Linked DNA regions of Oryctolagus cuniculus. The protein of the gene in region 1 interacts with the protein of each later gene in a pairwise test. Links are inferred from orthologs where the notes say so. Each region holds a gene or a part of one and is shown in the gene's direction. Other genes may lie near its edges.

What was found. The genes of interacting proteins can lie anywhere in the genome.
Region 2: the proteins of CCNDBP1 (region 1) and STK25 interact in binary tests that used the Homo sapiens proteins (3 or more experiments, as listed by UniProt). The two-hybrid records come from large-scale screens. The link is inferred for Oryctolagus cuniculus from reciprocal best matches to the Homo sapiens genes CCNDBP1 and STK25.
Region 3: the proteins of CCNDBP1 (region 1) and AMPD2 interact in binary tests that used the Homo sapiens proteins (3 or more experiments, as listed by UniProt). The two-hybrid records come from large-scale screens. The link is inferred for Oryctolagus cuniculus from reciprocal best matches to the Homo sapiens genes CCNDBP1 and AMPD2.
Region 4: the proteins of CCNDBP1 (region 1) and NANOS2 interact in binary tests that used the Homo sapiens proteins (3 or more experiments, as listed by UniProt). The two-hybrid records come from large-scale screens. The link is inferred for Oryctolagus cuniculus from reciprocal best matches to the Homo sapiens genes CCNDBP1 and NANOS2.

The regions. Positions count from the first base shown.
Region 1 is NC_091443.1:66,134,665-66,138,843, forward strand, and holds the start of CCNDBP1 (cyclin-D1-binding protein 1), read left to right. Parts: upstream 1-1,379; 5' UTR 1,380-1,525; coding exon 1,526-1,634; intron 1,635-1,797; coding exon 1,798-1,857; intron 1,858-2,130; coding exon 2,131-2,210; intron 2,211-4,179. Other genes in the region: TMEM62 (transmembrane protein 62), read left to right, coding at 126-452. UniProt on the Homo sapiens protein: May negatively regulate cell cycle progression. May act at least in part via inhibition of the cyclin-D1/CDK4 complex, thereby preventing phosphorylation of RB1 and blocking E2F-dependent transcription.
Region 2 is NC_091434.1:279,021-283,182, forward strand, and holds the start of STK25 (serine/threonine-protein kinase 25), read left to right. Parts: upstream 1-1,362; 5' UTR 1,363-1,521; exon of another isoform or gene 1,522-1,583; intron 1,584-1,702; 5' UTR 1,703-1,759; coding exon 1,760-1,789; intron 1,790-4,162. UniProt on the Homo sapiens protein: Oxidant stress-activated serine/threonine kinase that may play a role in the response to environmental stress.
Region 3 is NC_091438.1:60,791,596-60,795,651, reverse strand, and holds the start of AMPD2 (AMP deaminase 2), read left to right. Parts: upstream 1-1,256; 5' UTR 1,257-1,443; coding exon 1,444-1,444; intron 1,445-1,460; exon of another isoform or gene 1,461-1,568; coding exon 1,569-1,715; intron 1,716-2,381; exon of another isoform or gene 2,382-2,519; coding exon of another isoform or gene 2,520-2,684; intron 2,685-4,056. UniProt on the Homo sapiens protein: AMP deaminase plays a critical role in energy metabolism. Catalyzes the deamination of AMP to IMP and plays an important role in the purine nucleotide cycle.
Region 4 is NC_091449.1:11,135,455-11,138,446, forward strand, and holds NANOS2 (nanos homolog 2), read left to right. Parts: upstream 1-1,161; 5' UTR 1,162-1,212; coding exon 1,213-1,632; 3' UTR 1,633-2,492; downstream 2,493-2,992. UniProt on the Homo sapiens protein: Plays a key role in the sexual differentiation of germ cells by promoting the male fate but suppressing the female fate. Represses the female fate pathways by suppressing meiosis, which in turn results in the promotion of the male fate.

The DNA.
Region 1 (4,179 bases):
TGTGACCGACACTTAGTGAGACAGCTAACGAAGACAGAAAGCCACCGATTCTTAGGAAGCAGCAATAATGTGTTTGGACTTGAGCCCTGCAAAGGCGGCTAATGGTTGTGTTCTCCTCCCTCCAGCTGGTGTTCTTTAACATCCCCTTGATGGCCTACCTGTGTTGGAGCTTGCTGCAGCGGTGCTTTGGTCACAACTTCAGGTCTCATCTCCATCAAGGAAAACACTTGAAAATCATACCTGTGCACCTACTTATGTTCCTGCTGTACGTCTGGCAGCTTTATTCCTGCTACTGTCTTCACGTGACTCACGGCACTCTAGCTCTTTTATTCTCCCCTCTGCGGACCTGGTTGTCACTGCTGACTCCTCTTCTCGTTCGTTATGTGTGGAAACTGAACTCCACTGAATTTGGAACCTTCATGGTGCATTTTAAAAGCCACCTGAGCTCCTGAGGGCCATGTCTTGCCACTGGCAGCTGGCTGGAAGTCCAGCGTCTGCACCTGTAGCCAGGCCCCCGCTCCAGTAGCAGGTGGAGGGCCAGCACTGGTGTGTGAGCCTCAGGGAGCTGCTGCTCTTTGGACACTTGGATGTTGCAGGGATTATCCACTATTGATTCCTACAGAACAGACTGCAGAAAAGTCTCTAAATAATGACTTGATTCCTTCCTTCCCTGGGGAGGCAAAGGATTGATTTATCTTTGTGAAGAGAAAATCCTAATCTAGGAGCTCCACAGGGCAGGGTCTGGGTGTGTGAGTGGGGGCATCTGAGGCCCCGTGTGTTTTTAAGATTATCCCATGTAAAGCACCTAGTACCGCTGCCTGGAACTCAGCAGCTGTCAAGGGTGCTGTTAGGGGCAGGGAAACTGTGGACTTTGGCCCAACTCTGACTACCATTAAGATATTAGTTCCCAGTCCTGTTTGGCCCCCGGGTTATGAGCTTTTGGCCCTAATTGGGGGTGTTTTCAATTAATTGACTTAATGAATGAATAAATACCATGAGGGCAGGCATTTGGCCTAGTGGTTAAGGCACCAGTTGAAACAGCCCTGGCTGTGCCCCCTCTGGAGTCCAGCTTCTTGATAATGCACACCCTGGGAGTCAGGGAGTGATGGCTCAAATGGTAGGCCCCCTGCCACCCATGTGGAAGACCCGATTGAGTTCCCTGCTGCTGGCTTGTGGGTTTTGGGGAGTGAATCAATGGATGGGAGCATGCTCCCACTGTGTCCCTCTCTGTCCCACTGTCAGCCTCAAATAAATAAATAAAAATTTAAAGCAACAAAAACCATAGTATTTTCTTTAAAAGAAAAAGACCCGGGACGTGAGCATTGCTTTGCTGTCCAGCCTCTGGAAATGGGTGGTGCTTGTTTGGGGAAGGCTTGGCCGGGTCTGGGGGCGTGGCCTCAGGGAGGCGGAAGGGGCGGGGCAAGCGGCTTGTTGCCGGAAACGAGCCTAGTGGGACGACTGCTGCTCTGCGTCTCTGGCAGCGCCTCCGGCTGCCTCGGTCTCCGGGGTCACCCGAGCGACTGCGATGGCGAGCGCAGCTGCACCTGCGGCCGCAGTGCCCACCCTGGTTCCGCCTTTGGAGCAGCTCCGGCACTTGGCGGTGGAGCTGCGACTGCTCCTACCTCGAGTGCGGGGTGAGCTGACACAGGGGGGCGGAATGGCAAGTGCGTTCTTGGGGTGAGGGAGAGGCCAGGCTGGCCGGCGACCGGAGGCGGAGCCCCTGGCCGAGGCCGTGGTTCCGCTTACCTGAGCTTTTCCTTTCGCCACCGTCTGGCCCTCCCATGCCATACCCACAAGTCGGCGAAGCCCGCGGCACCGTCGAGGAGTTTAATCGGGAGACGTTCTGGAGAAGATTCAGTGAGTGCCCCTGGCGCCGGGGCCCCCATCTTTCACCCTCGTCAGCGTCCCCGTCCTTTAACCTCCCGGCCGCCCGTAGGAGGCGACTCCGTCCCCCAGTCGCATCCTCTCTGTGGGAATACCCCACTTTGCCCATCGCTGGCACCAGAAAGGTTGACATGTAAACCACTGACTCTGAGAAGTGTTTTGCTAGGCCTCGGGCGGAGAGGGGACGCACGCAGCTGCTCCGCTTATTAACCTTTTGGCTCTGCCTGCCCCTCTGCCACCCCGCAGATGAGGCGGCTGTGAACGTGTCGAGGGAGGCCACGACTCTGACCACTGCCTTCTCTCGGCTTCCGCTGCCGTCTCCACAGGTGGGCTGCCCTTTCTTGGAGTCCTCGGACTTTCTTTTTACCTTTTACAGTCAGGCCAGGAAATGTGTTTTTCTCGGACGGGATTACAGTTCTTACCTCGCAGGATTGTTGTGAAGTGCGCTTTGGGGCGCGGAATAGGCAGGTCCTCTGACTTTGAATTTGCAGTCCGGCCTAGGTTATTTCCTTTCTGATATCTTTTTAAAGCACTGGTTATTCGCTAGATGTTTTCACCCTGACAGATGAGTAAGTAGGCTCAGAGGCTCAGGTTAACACACATAAGTGATAGAGCTAGAATTTAAATCCACCTGTTGTCTCAGCTACTCCTGTGCCACATAAAACCCTTTTATATTAGTACTTTTCCATTCTATATTTAATCAGTAACTTTTAAATCATACTATAGTAATATAAAATTCAAAAGATATCAAATATAAGTGTGCTAAAATGTTTCTTACCACCCCATTCCTCATTTTTGTCTCCCTTCCTGGTTACTTTTCCATTTTTTTCCTATATAGTGTATTCTATGTGTATATACATTTATGTGTAAATGAGCTGCTTTTTATACAAATAATATGATACTACTTTGTTCTGGACATTCTTTTTTTAAAAATTGGCAACATAGTTTGGAAATCAGTGTGTCTGTTCTTGATGCGCATACACAGTTGCTCAATTCTTTGTCGTGTCTGCACGGTATTCAACAGAGTGAATATTACCATAATTTAACCAATATTCTGTGGACATTTAAACTTCTTCCATCTTGTCAGTATTATAAATCGTGAATTGCATACTACAATCTTTGTATGCCTGTGTACCTCAGTAGAAAAAAAATCCCAGAAGTGAAATTGCTAGAACAGAGAATGTATACATGGATAATAATCCTTTATTGTAAGACTGATGAAAATAAACATATTGGTTGTGAACAGGTATGCCCTATGCTGCTGACTCCATTTTTTCTAGAGCTATATATACTTAATTTGGGCGTGAGGTTATTTCAAAATGACACATTCATTGCTTTCTTTGATTTTCATAGTAGTTTTGGTCTCTTTTCGATCTGTGTATCCAGGTGTCTTGAAATGATATAAATATCTTTTTGCTACATATACCTACAATAAAAACTCTGTTTTCTCTGCATCCTTAGAGATTTTGATGAGTAAGCAAGAATTGAATTGTATAATATCATTTGAAACTGGAGTACTAATATGATCTTTATTTTCTTGTCTGCTGACTCCTTTCAGGTATGATTGGGGTTTACTGCTAAAACTCACAGCAAGTACTGTGAGGAGCCAGCACAGAAATATTTTTCTGTACTTGCTAAGGACTGTAGTTTGCTCATAGATGGGTGAAAAATTAGAATTGGGTTTTATTATATATATATATGTATATTCACAAATATATGTGTTCAAATGTGTGTGTATTTAAATGATAATCACTTTCTAAAATCCCAACACTTCATTCCTACAGATGGTTGACTTGAATGGACTGATATCTTTTATAATTTTATGTGCTTTGATGTTGAAACAATGTCAAATTGCATCTCTCTAAACATTCTCAGTCACTGCACTTACTTCATCCCAAACTGGGAGCAGTTTGCTAACTGGTACCAGTGCGAGCCAATGAGGACAAGGAAGATGAGAGAGCCAGTGACCATTTAGAAGGAAAACAGTCAACACTAAACATGCTAGTTATGTTCACTTAAAGATTGTAATTTTGCTAAAAGAGAGAGCTGGTTAATGATCTAATGCTGGGGGTTGGCAATTTTTTTCTGTGAAGACTCAGTAAAAGGGGCTGGTATTGTAGCATAGTGGGTAAAGCTCCCTCCTGCAGTGCTGGCATTCTATATGGGCACCGGTTGGAAACTCGGCTGCCCCACTTCTGATCCAGCTCCCTGCTAATATGCCTAGGAAAGCAGCAGCAGATGACTGAAGTGTTTGGGCCTCTGCCACCCATGTGAGACACCTGGAGTAAGCTGCTT
Region 2 (4,162 bases), on another chromosome or scaffold:
TGTAGTTGGGCCCTGACACCCACATGGGCAGCCCAGAGTTCTCGGCTTCCAGCCACCTTGAGCCTGGCCCAGTCCTGGCGGTTGCGGGTATCTGGGCAATGAACTAGTGGATGGGAGCTTTCTGTCCCTTAAATAAATAAAGTCTAGTGGCCAGTGCTGTGGCATAGTGGGTAGAGCTGCCGCTTGCAGTACCAGCATCCCATGTGGGCGCCGGCTCAAGTCCCGGCTGCTCCTCTTCCAATCCAGCTCTCTGCTGTGGCCTGGGAAGGCAGTGGAAGATGGCCCAAGTCCTGGGAGGCCTGGAGAAAGCTCCTGGCTCCGGATCAGCGCAGCTCCGGCCGTTGTAGCCAACTGGGGAGTGAACCAGCAGAAGGAAGACCTCTCTCTCTCTCTCTCTCTCTCTCTCTCTCTCTCTCACCCTGATGGGTGCTCCTGGCTGTTGGGCTTTTCCCGCGTTCCGGCCCTGCTCCGCGGTGAGAAGCGCTGACTGTGACCGCATCTCGGACGGTCTGCCTCGCCCACCGTTCCTTGCGGTCCCCTTACGAAGAGCTCAGAGCTGCAATCTTTCAACTCTGGGATCCGCTCCGTTAAGATTTCTTTGGCTTGGACCTGAGACCCTGACCCAAACCGGGCGGAGACGTCCCTGGCAGAGCACTCTCAGCCGCTTCACGTCCTCGCCGGTCCAGTTTCTCACCAGACACGATGGAACATACCAGAAGCCGGCCGAGGCAGTGAGCTGAGAACAAGCACAGATGCGGCCAAGTTCAAGCCCACTGCGTGACCCCGCCGGACGGCGGCCGGGGCAGGACCCCGGCCCGCAAGGTCCCCCCAGGTGCTGCTAAACGAGCAGGGGTGACGACACAGGCCACACGGCCCCTCACGCCACCTCCCAGTGCCCGCCGCGGACCGCGTCAAGTCAGGACCCCGCGAAGGGCTGCGCAGAGGGCAGGGCCGGGCGCCCAGAGGGGCCGGCCGGGAGCGGAGGGCTCGCAGTGGGCTCCCTGCAGGGCCCTAGGGCCGGAACGGCCCGCTCACGAGCAGAGTGGCGGAACGCAGCGCCCAGCCTCCAGCGCCGCACGCTGACCGGGACCAGCAGAGTAGCGGCCTCACGGCGATCGCACGCGCGTCCGCCTGCCCGCCCTAGGCACGCCGTGCGGGGGCGCCTGGCCGGAGAAGCAGCCCGAGGCCCTCCGAGCGGGACTCGCAGTCCCGGCGGGCCCCGCGGCGCACCAGCGCCTCGACGCCGCTCGATGCAAGGCCTGCCGGGACTTGCAGTCCAGCGCCGGCGCCTCGATGCCGCCCGTCGCGCGGCCTGCCGGGACTTGTAGTCCGGCGCCCGCGGGTCCAGGGCGCGGGGTGGACAGCGGGACTCGGAGTCCCAGGGAGCCGCGCGCCGGCCACGACGACCTCGCCGCCCTCGTCGCCGCCGCCTCCGCTGCCCCTGGGGTTTCTCGGCTACCGCCGCCGCCGCCGCCGCTACGCGGGCCAGCCCGGGCGTTCCCGGGCGGACGGAGGCTGCGGGTGGGAGCCTTCGCGGGCGCTGCGGCGCGGGCCGGGGGAGGCCGGGATGGAGCCCCCCGGAGGTGGGCGCGCTGCCGGGCGGGGCCGCGCCCGGGCGGTTGGGGCCGGGCGGGGCGGGGGCCGGGGCCGGGGCCGGGGCCGGGCGGCGCTCCCGGGGCCCTGACTGCCGCCGTCCCCACAGGGGACTGACGCGAGCGCGCCGGGGTCGCCGACGGCCGGGCGGAGCGCGGCGCGGACCATGGCGCACCTGAGGGGATTTGCCAGCCAGGTGAGGAGGGGCGGCACGGCGGCGCGGTCGGGGGTCGTTCCGCCTCCCGGGTGTCCCCGCCGCGCTCCCCGCCCTCCGCTGTCGCGGCTGCGGAGGTGACCGTGCGGCCGCCCGTCGCGCCTGCTTCGCGCTTTCCCGCACCCGCAGGTGCCAACGCTTCGCCCAGGGCGCGGCGCGGGGCGAGCGCCGGCCGGACCGTGGCGAGGCGTGGACAGGAAGCGCGTCCGCCCGCGACGGGAGCCGGTCGGGGGAAGGCGGCGGCCGGGGTCCCTGCTTCGTCTTTGACGTTTGGGCCTGCAGGTTACGTGGCGAGGATGTCGAGAGAAAAACCTGCTCACCTGTTAGAAGCGCAGGAGCAGGGCTGGCGGGGGCGCGGAGAGGGGACCCCGAGGTGGGAGGCGTCGTTTGGCCTTTTCGGGGCCCCTTTGCCATCCCGCAGGGCTGACCAGGCTGGTGTGGCCCCCGGGCCCCGTGGGCAGGAACGGTGCGGAGGTGCGAGCTCAGGCCGCAGCTGGGGTGTCGGGGGGCTTCGGGCCTCTGTTGTGCGGCGTGAGCAGCAGACACGTTGGGGCAGAGGGCCCAGGCTGCGTGGCCTACCCCGCAGCCCCTCCCGAAGAGGACCCCTGTGTTCCTCTTCCCAGGGCGGTTGGGCGTGGGCTGTCCCTGGGCTGCAGTGGCAGGTCCTTGTCACGCTCTTGCTGCTCAGGCTGGCTGCCGTGGCGGTGGGCACACCAGGAGGGGCCTGGGGGCAGGGACTTGCACCTTGCCTGCTCAGCCCTGGCTCAGGGGCTGTGTCGGGCGCTGCGTTGGCCAGGCTGTCAGCGGAGTGAGGTGGTACCCAGAGATGCTGCTGGGCCTCTAGGTCTGTCTCGGGCCAGCCTCGAAGGCGGTGGACTGTAGAGTGACAGGAGGACGCCAGCTCAGGGCCTGAGCCAGAGCCGCTGAGCCACCAGGATGGGGCTGTGCCAGGCAGCCTGGGGGAACGCGTCTCCCCAAAGCCCTGGAGGTAGGTGATGAGCTCTCTGCGACAGGAGAGTGGCCGCCTGCCCGTCAGTGGTCTGAGGGCTGCTGTGTCCAGGACTTGGGCACCTGCTCCGGCGGGCTGGGCTCTCGTGGGCTCTCGCCCGCAGCACCCTGAGGGCAGTGGAGCAGGTGTGACGTGTCACACACCGTGAGTTTCCTGGCTTCTGTTTCTAGAACCTGGTCAGCAGGAGAGGAGAGGCTGGGGTAAACGCAGCTCGCCTGGCCCGTGCAGCCTGGGCAGGACCGGACTTTGTCCTTGCTGATCCTCAGCCTTGGCTTTGGGGTCTCCTGGCAGCAGGCTGGCCCTGAGCATCCCCTGGGCTCATCCATGGCCACAGGCCTTGGGACCCGTCTGCCAGTTCTGGCCACTTTGCCTTATGTGTCCAAGCCGGTTAACTGGGTTAGGGTGTGTGTGGTCTGCAGCTGGCCTGCCTGGGGCAGCTGCTCTGGCTGTCACCCCAGGCCTGGTTCGGGTGGATTAAGTGGCCGGCGCTGCCCTGTCCTTGCAGCCCCGCTGCTGTGTCTGCGCCGCCCGGGGCTCAGCTCCGCTGTCCTCAAGTTCCTGTCTCCCCAGAGCCTGGCTCCCAGCCGGGGTCAGGGACACTGTGAGGCGGTCTCGTAGGCCTGGGCCTGGGTGATCGCCCCTCCTGCCCTGTGGTTACAAACCCTGGAGAGGGTGCTCAGGCTCAGCTGAAACGTGGCGTGAGCCTAGAGCAGCACCCTGCGGGCCCAGCACCCATGACTGGTGCTCTGCTCCGGGGAGGAGGCGCTGAGCCCGCCCAGCCCTGGCTGCCCTCACCTGGGAGCTGGCCATGTTTTCTGGACTTGGTGAGAAGTGGGCACTGAGACACTGTCATGGGGGTGGTGCCCCTCCTGGTGCGGAGACTCGGCTGGGCTTGCCTTGGGGCCGCCGCCCGCAGTGCTGGCATCCCACGTGGGTGCCAGTTGGAGTCCTGGCTGCTCCACTTCGTATCCAGCTCCCTGCTATGGCCTGGGAAAGCAGTGGAGGATGGCGCAAGGGCTTGGAGACCGGAAGATGCTCCTGGCTTCCGGGTTTGGCCTGGCCCAGCACTGGCCGTTGTGGGCATTTGGGGAGTGAAGCTGCAGATCTCTGTCTCTCTCTAACTCTGCCTTTCAAATAAATAAAAATAAATCTTAAAAAAAAAAAAGGAAAATTCTGTCTTGATGACACTCAGGGCCTTAACCCCACTCCCACCTCTACAGGTTCCCCTGTGGGGCAGCAAGCCACTAGGATCCTGGGGTATGGGGGCTGCCCTTCACCCTCGGCCGGCCGTGTTTCTGAGGTTGGTCAGCGCTTGGTGGCTGGAGCATGGTGTTCTCAGGAGCCCA
Region 3 (4,056 bases), on another chromosome or scaffold:
CCCTCTCTCAGTCACTTTGCCTTTCAAATAAATAAATGTTTTTTTTTTTTTTTTAAATTCCTGGAGGTGGAGAGCTGTGTCAGATTTAAGAACCTTTATGAGATTCTTGATTATCTACTACCAAATAGCAATGTTTATAGCCTCCGGTAGTCTGTGTGTGTGTGTCTGTGTCCCATTTCACTATCCCCTTGCCTGCATTGATATGTTTTTCTTAGGCTTTGCCGTTTTGATTGGTGAACATGGTATCTCCTGGTTCTCTTTTTCTTTGTAAGGTGAAGGCATTTCCTCCCTACGTTTACGAAAGCCATGGAGTTTAAATTTGTTCCAAGCGTGGGGCAAGAGACAAGGGATCAGTGGAGGCGACACCAGGTGCAGGCAGAGGATGGGGTTCAGGGTCCAGAATCCAGTGTGGGGAGGGCAGAGGGAGGCAGAGTTTGGGAAGGAACTTGGCTGCGTGGGAGGTGAGAACTGGGAGGGACCCGACAGACTGCGTTAGCACAGCTGGGTGTGGGGGGCAAAGGGCTCCCACAGGGGCAGGATAACAATGACTTTCAGTGAGCGCTTAGGGACTTCCTGTGCCCCTCCCCAGTGAGGATGCCGGCCGGACAGCGTGCCTGCGGTGCCCAAGACAGCTCAGCTCCACTAATTTATGGGCTGCAAGGTGAATCAACTCGTGAGCGTGTCACTTGGGAACCAAGTCCAAGGCCAAACCAATGAAGTGATGATGCAGGAACACTGAGGGGTAACTACAGGCCGGCACAGTTATACACACTTATCTTATGTTAGCTCATTCACCTTAAACAACCAGCATATAAAGCACAAGAAACCGAAGCAGTTAGGTAGCCAGGGAGGAGATCGAAGTCCTGAATTCCAACCCAGGAATTCGGGCTACGGAGCCTAACCGGCAAATACAGAAGTTAGCGTGGGAGGGGGAAGATGGAATCGGAGGACACACCCTCGCCCGAGCCGAACGGGCGGCCCAGGTGAGGACGCCGTCGCCCGAGGGGCCGCACTTCGGTTTCAAGTGACTCCCGAGCCGCTAACCACGGCTACCCTTTCCTAGGCCCCCGCTGGGCCCAGCGCCGCTTACCCCCAGAGCGCGGCGCTGTCACCGCTCCGTCCCCCGCCTTACGGAGGAGGAAGCTGGCGCGCACAGCTCGCCCCCCACCCGGCGCCGGGCCAGGCCCACCGCGGAGTTCGCAGCCCACGTGGCGCCCGGGAAAAGGGGCGGGGCGGGGCCAGCCCGGGGGCGGGGCCGCGGGGCCTGGGGCCACGGAGACTGGCGCGGCGCCGCTGGGGTTCGGGTGGGGTCGCACCTGTTGCGCGGTTCCCCTCTGGCCAGCCACGGGAGTCCGGCGCCACATACCCAAGGCGTGTTGCGAGAAACCCGGACGAGTTCCGGGTCCTGCTGGCTGGGGGAGCACGTGGCCTGCCCGCTTCTCCAGTGCGTTGGCTGGGGGGTCGGGACGCCGGGGTTGCCCGAGGCCACTCGGTCGGCCGAGGTCGGCTGCGGTTCGCCCGCAGCCGGCTGGAAATTTTGAAAAACTGCCCTACTTTCCCCAACCCAGTGCCAGGTCACGGCCCTTTGGAGCGACTTGGCCGGGGTCTGGGGCCCAGCCCCTCTCCCCTCCCTCACGACCCGGGCTTCCCGGCTGTGCAGACCCTCGCGGGCGGCTCCCCCAGTGCCCCTCGGGATTCAGGCAGCATGGCCTCGGGTAAGTGTGTGCGCGTATGTTGGGGCGAGGGTCTCTGGACTCAGAGGTGCTGTGGCCAGGGTGACAAGAGTGTGGGGGTCTTGGCACAATCTGCAGGACCTCGGGAAGAGGCTGGGGAAGCGGAGCGAGTGTGGAAGGGAAAGTCAGAAGCGGCTGGGGGTGGGGTGGCGGGGCGTCCCTTCCCCAGACCCCAGAAGAGCCCCTGGCTTCCTGGGAGGTAGCTTCCGCCGGTCCGTGGAATTTTCCCAAGGCAGGCCCCTCCCTCCTGGGCTGGGATTCTCCGTTCCACTCCCTCCTCCGTGAGCTGGGCTGCCCCTGGAGCCGGGGGTCAGGTGGAGGAGCAGAGGGGGCAGAGCCTCGCCTCGAGGCGCCGGGTTTTGGACGGAGCGCGCCTGCCCCGCCTTGCCCTGCGAGGAGTGGGTTCTGAACTAGGCGAGCTCGGCCGGATTCCTCTTTACGGCGGTCTTTTGCTCTCCGGCTGGCTGGACCAGCCAGCCTGGACTTTGGAGCCCTGGCCGGGGCGGGGGGAGGTTTCCTGAGCGGGGGTGGGGGGTGGCGGGGTGTGGGTGCGGTTAGTGGCGAGCTGGAGGCCGGCCCTCCCCGATCTGGTAGTCTCCACCCCGCCCCCCAGATCCGGCCGCCGTCAGTCGCGTCACTCGAGGGCTAAGGGGCCGGGATGGAGGCCCCACTCGCCGACGTTGCCTAGACAACATCAGAAATCGTGGCCAGGGCCTCTTCCGCCTGCGGGGCGCTGCTTCCTGCATCAGTCACTCCCGCTGGGGGCGGGGCGGAGGAAGGGGTTGGATGTGGCAGAGCCAGGCCCCAGCCGGTGCGGCTCAGACTCCCCCGCTGTCGCCGTGGCCCCAGCCATGGCATCCTATCCATCTGGCCCCGGCAAGCCCAAGGCCAAGTACCCCTTTAAGAAGCGGGGCAGTCTGCAGGCCTCGGCTGCCGCCGTTCCAGGTGAGTGCGGGCTTCCTGTCCTCAGGTACTGGCTCTGCCTCACCTCCACCGCGGATGGCTCCTGAACCCCCCCACCCCGCCCGGGGGTGGGGGGACCCGCCTTCCCTGGCACCCTGCTGCTGCTGCTGGTGCCTTGCCCTCAGTCCCAGCGATGGCTGGCTTGGGAAGTGCAGTGGGGAGGCAGGCGAGCTGGGGGGGTGCCAGGTTTCTGTGTCAGTGATGCTGCTCCCCGTAACAAGGAGTGGGTGCAACGAGAGGTGTGTGTGTGCACACGTGTTGGTGTGTGCATGTGGGAAGTGTGTGTGCATGGAGTGGAGGCGTGGGGGCCTTGACCGGCAGGCTCAGGCTTCCCCTGAGGGTAGTTTCTCTTTGCAGGACCCCACTTGGAGGCTGCCCTTCCTGGGGGTCTGAATGGGGGCTCCCCTGCCTCTGCCGCTGGCCCATTCCTGGGGTGGGTTGTGAGTCCCTGAAGGGGATGGGCTGTCCTTGGGGGTACCGCATGGCCCCTGCACCTCTTGGTTGAGCTCTCAGGCTGTAGGCGTCTCTGCAGCATTGGGGCAGGCGGTGTGGTGCGGCAGTACCTGCCTCCCGGGGGCTCAGCTGCCCAGGTCTGTGCTTGCTGAGCAGTCAGCCTGCCGCCTGCGACGCCCCAGGCCCCCCCCCCCCCCCCCCGTGGCTGAGGAAGGACCCTCCCCTGCCTGGCTGACCAGGTCACCCTCCCAGCCCCTGGCTTCCTACCCATAGCTCAGTCCCCTTCCTGCTGTGTTGTCTTATGCTATTGAAGTTGTCTGGTCTGAGGTCTCTACTGCCCTGGGGGTCTCTGCCGAGGTCCAGGCCTTTCGTGTGTCCTAGGGCTCGGTCTGTCCTGGTTGCCCTGTTGCTGAACAGGAGACTTTCGTGGGTGGTCAGACGGTGGGTGTCTGATACTTGTGGGTCACAGACTTGGGCACCTCCCTGCCTACTGAGGCAATCTTGGTGGCCAGGATGTTGGAGTTGGTGGGAGTGGCTGGGGGCAGCCCCATCTGGCTTCTGCTTGACTCCCCTGTGTGAATGTGGGTGTGTGTATCTGTGGTGCTGCGGCCAGAGACCTCCTCCATAGTAGGCAGCTGAGCCTTGGAGCTTGGCCTGGGTGCCTGGGTGTCATCTCCGGTGAACCCTTCAGAGCTCTCTTCAACGACCAGCAGACTGGCGGGATGGCTGTGGCCGCTAGAACCTGGCTTGTAACTCCCAACGCTGCTGTGGAGGCCCCGGGCCGCCGGCTGGGGGCCAGGCTGAGGTTAGGGCCTTCGCGGCAGCTGGTGAGGAGCCAACACAGACCAGCCTCTTGCAGGAGATTAGGAGTCAGCTGGGGCCCTGTGTGAGGGATCAGAGTCCTCAG
Region 4 (2,992 bases), on another chromosome or scaffold:
CTCAGAGTGCTTGGTTCAAGTCCCAGCTCCTCCACTTCCGATCTCGGCTTCCCGCTAACGCACACCCAGGTGATGGTTCAGGTTCTGGGTCCCTGCCCCCGAAGTGGGAGATCCCTACGGAGCTCCTGGCTCCTGGCTTCAGCCTGGCCCAGCCCTGGCTGTTGCAGGCATTTGGGGGAGTAAACCAGAAGATAGGAGCTGTCTCTCAAATTAAAAATTAAAAATAAGTTAAACTAAAAAAAAAAAAAAGATTTATTTGAGAGCCAGAGCTGCAGAGAGAGAGGGAGAGACCATCTGCTGGTTCACCCCCACAAATAGTCACAACAGCCGGAGCTGGAGTGATCCAAAGCCAGGAGCCAGGAGCCTCCCCCGGTCTCCCATGCGGGTGCAAGGGCCATCTTCCGCAGCTCTCCCAGGCACATTAGCAGAGAGCTGGATCGGAAGGAGAGCAGCTGGGACAGGACTTGGGATGCCAGTGCTGCAGGCAGAGGCTTAGCCTGCTACGTACGCCATAGCACCAGCCCCTAAGTTAAAACTTAAAAAAAAAAAAAAGAGGTAGCAAGAGCACTCGGTTTGGAGTCCCATCCAGGCTGTGTGACTCTGGGCTGAGGTTCCCCCTCTGAACTTCCATTACTCATCTATAAATGGGTCTCGATTGCTCCCAACATGGGGTTGCCATGAGGACTCAATGGCACCCCACGGGCGCCCGTGCAGCATGGCGTCCAGCCGCTGTAGGGGCTCCTGTAAGTAGTGGGCACTTATATTATATACACTGGGCTCTGGAGATCAGGGAGGGGGTAGCTCCTCCAGGATGTGGGGAGGGGCCGGCGGGGGAGGCATTTGCAGGCCTGGGTCGTGGTCAGGGAACAAAGAGGCAAACAGAGCCCCCAGGAGTGGCCGTGTTCTGGGCAGAGGACGCAGAGCCCCTGAGAGGCAGCGCAGGGACCCGCAAGCAGGCAGGCAACTTCCTCCCAGATCTTGGTGGGAGATCAGTCAGTTGGGGGTCATGGGCAGGGAGTGGGCCCTTTAAATCCTAAGCTCCACCTATGCTGAGAAGGGTCTCTGAGGAGAATAAATAGGGGGCGCAGCTCCTCTCTGCTCCACCAAAGCCAGCTGCTCCTCCCTGCCTGCCCCCAGCCCCAGCCCCTCTCCAGCTGCACCCCCACCCCACCCCGCGCACCTCCAGCCCGACCCAGCCCCAGGCTGGGCAGCATGCAGCCGCCACCTTTTGACATGTGGAAGGACTACTTCAACCTGAACCAGGTGCTGTGGGCGCTGATCAGGAGTCGGGGGCCGAGGCTGGAGGCCCAGGGGGTGCAGGAGCCCAGCCCCGGGGCCCCGCTGGGGCCAGGAGATGACGGGCTGGTGGGGCTGGGGCCCGGCGGGGGCCTGGGTTCCCTGTGTAACTTCTGCAAACACAACGGGGAGTCCCGCCACGTGTACTCCTCCCACCAGCTCAAGACGCCCGAGGGTGTCGTCGTGTGTCCCATCCTGAGGCACTACGTGTGTCCCCTGTGCGGGGCCACGGGTGGCCAGGCCCACACGCTCAAGTACTGCCCGCTCAACGGCAGCCAGCAGTCCCTGTACCGCCGCAGTGGCCGGAACTCGGCCGGCCGCAAGGTGAAGCGCTGAGCACTGGGAGGTGCCCCCGCCCCGCCCCGCCCCGCATCGCCCTCGGGACCTGGCTCGCTCCCCACCAAGCCCTTGACCCCTCCACTCCATCCACCCAGCTCTTGGCAACGCCACCCCTGCTGGATCCCAAAGCAGTGGGTGGGGGGCTGCTGGCAAGCCCCCCGCCGTGGAACTTTGTCCTGGTGCAGGGGAGCCCTGCCCAGGGGACTGCACAGCTTCGCGATGCTTCTTGGGCAACTCCTGCTTCCAGGGCCTGCTGGCGACTTCCCAGCCCCAGGCCCCCGTTCCTCGAAGAATTCTGGGATCCGAAGCCCTCTCGGACCTGGCCGTGCCCTCTGGGGACTTGCACACAGCGAGCAAAGCTGGCCCGGATGTGCCAGCCAGTTTCCACTTTCTTCAGCCACCTGCAGACCCACACCTCCGGCATGGACCACCTGGACTGGGGGCGGTGGGGGCCGCGCTGCCCTCCCAGGCTCATCGCTGGAGAGCCTCAGGGTGAGCTGGACGCCCTCGGCCCTCCATGATTCTCGCTCTTTCACGCTGCTCCTGCTCCGAATCCCGAGTCCCCCGTGGGTCCTCTCCCCTGGCGACAGGTGCGTCTCCCCGCCAGTCCCACCCTCCCCTCCATCACCATCCTCCCAGCGTTAGACCCGTGGAGCTCCCACCAGCAAGGGGTCTGAGTGTTCAGATGGGAATGGCGACCGCCTAGGTTTTATTTTGGGGGCACAGACGAAAGCCCGTGAGATGTTCAGTTGTTCAGTTTGCGCTCAGGGTCGGGGACCTGGGTGTCAGGCGCTAGTGAATAAAGAATATTTCAAGTTGTCTTTGACATCTGTCCGTTTCCACCTCCTCACCTGCTGGCTGGCCGACAGAGGTGGAGAGCAGTTTTAGCCCCGGCTCTTGGAAAGTGGGGAGGAGGGGCGGGGACAGCTCGGGGCCGTGGGTTCCTCTCCTGACCCCCGTGACTGGGTCCCAGGTTCCTCCTCCGCCTCTACCTGGACCCCAGATCCTGTGCCCTGTCTGTGGGCTGCCCTCCCACCCCTGTGAGGCCACGGGACTTCCGAGACCAACTTCCTGGGAGTTGTTTAAGCTTGGGTGCCCAGACCCCACTGGAGAGATGTTGAAAAGCGTGGGTTCTGCCCCCAGCACACGTAACACAAAGTGCATAGCCTGTTATTCCAGCAGGCTGCATTTATTTTTAACAACAGTTGTTTGTTTAAACATTGAATTGTCAATTTGTTTTTATTTCTGTGAAAGGGAGGGAGGGTGGGAGGGGGAAAAAGAGAGAGAAAGAGAGAATATCTCAGCTCAGTAGACTAATCCTCCGCCTATAGCACCGGCACACCGGGTTCTAGTCCCG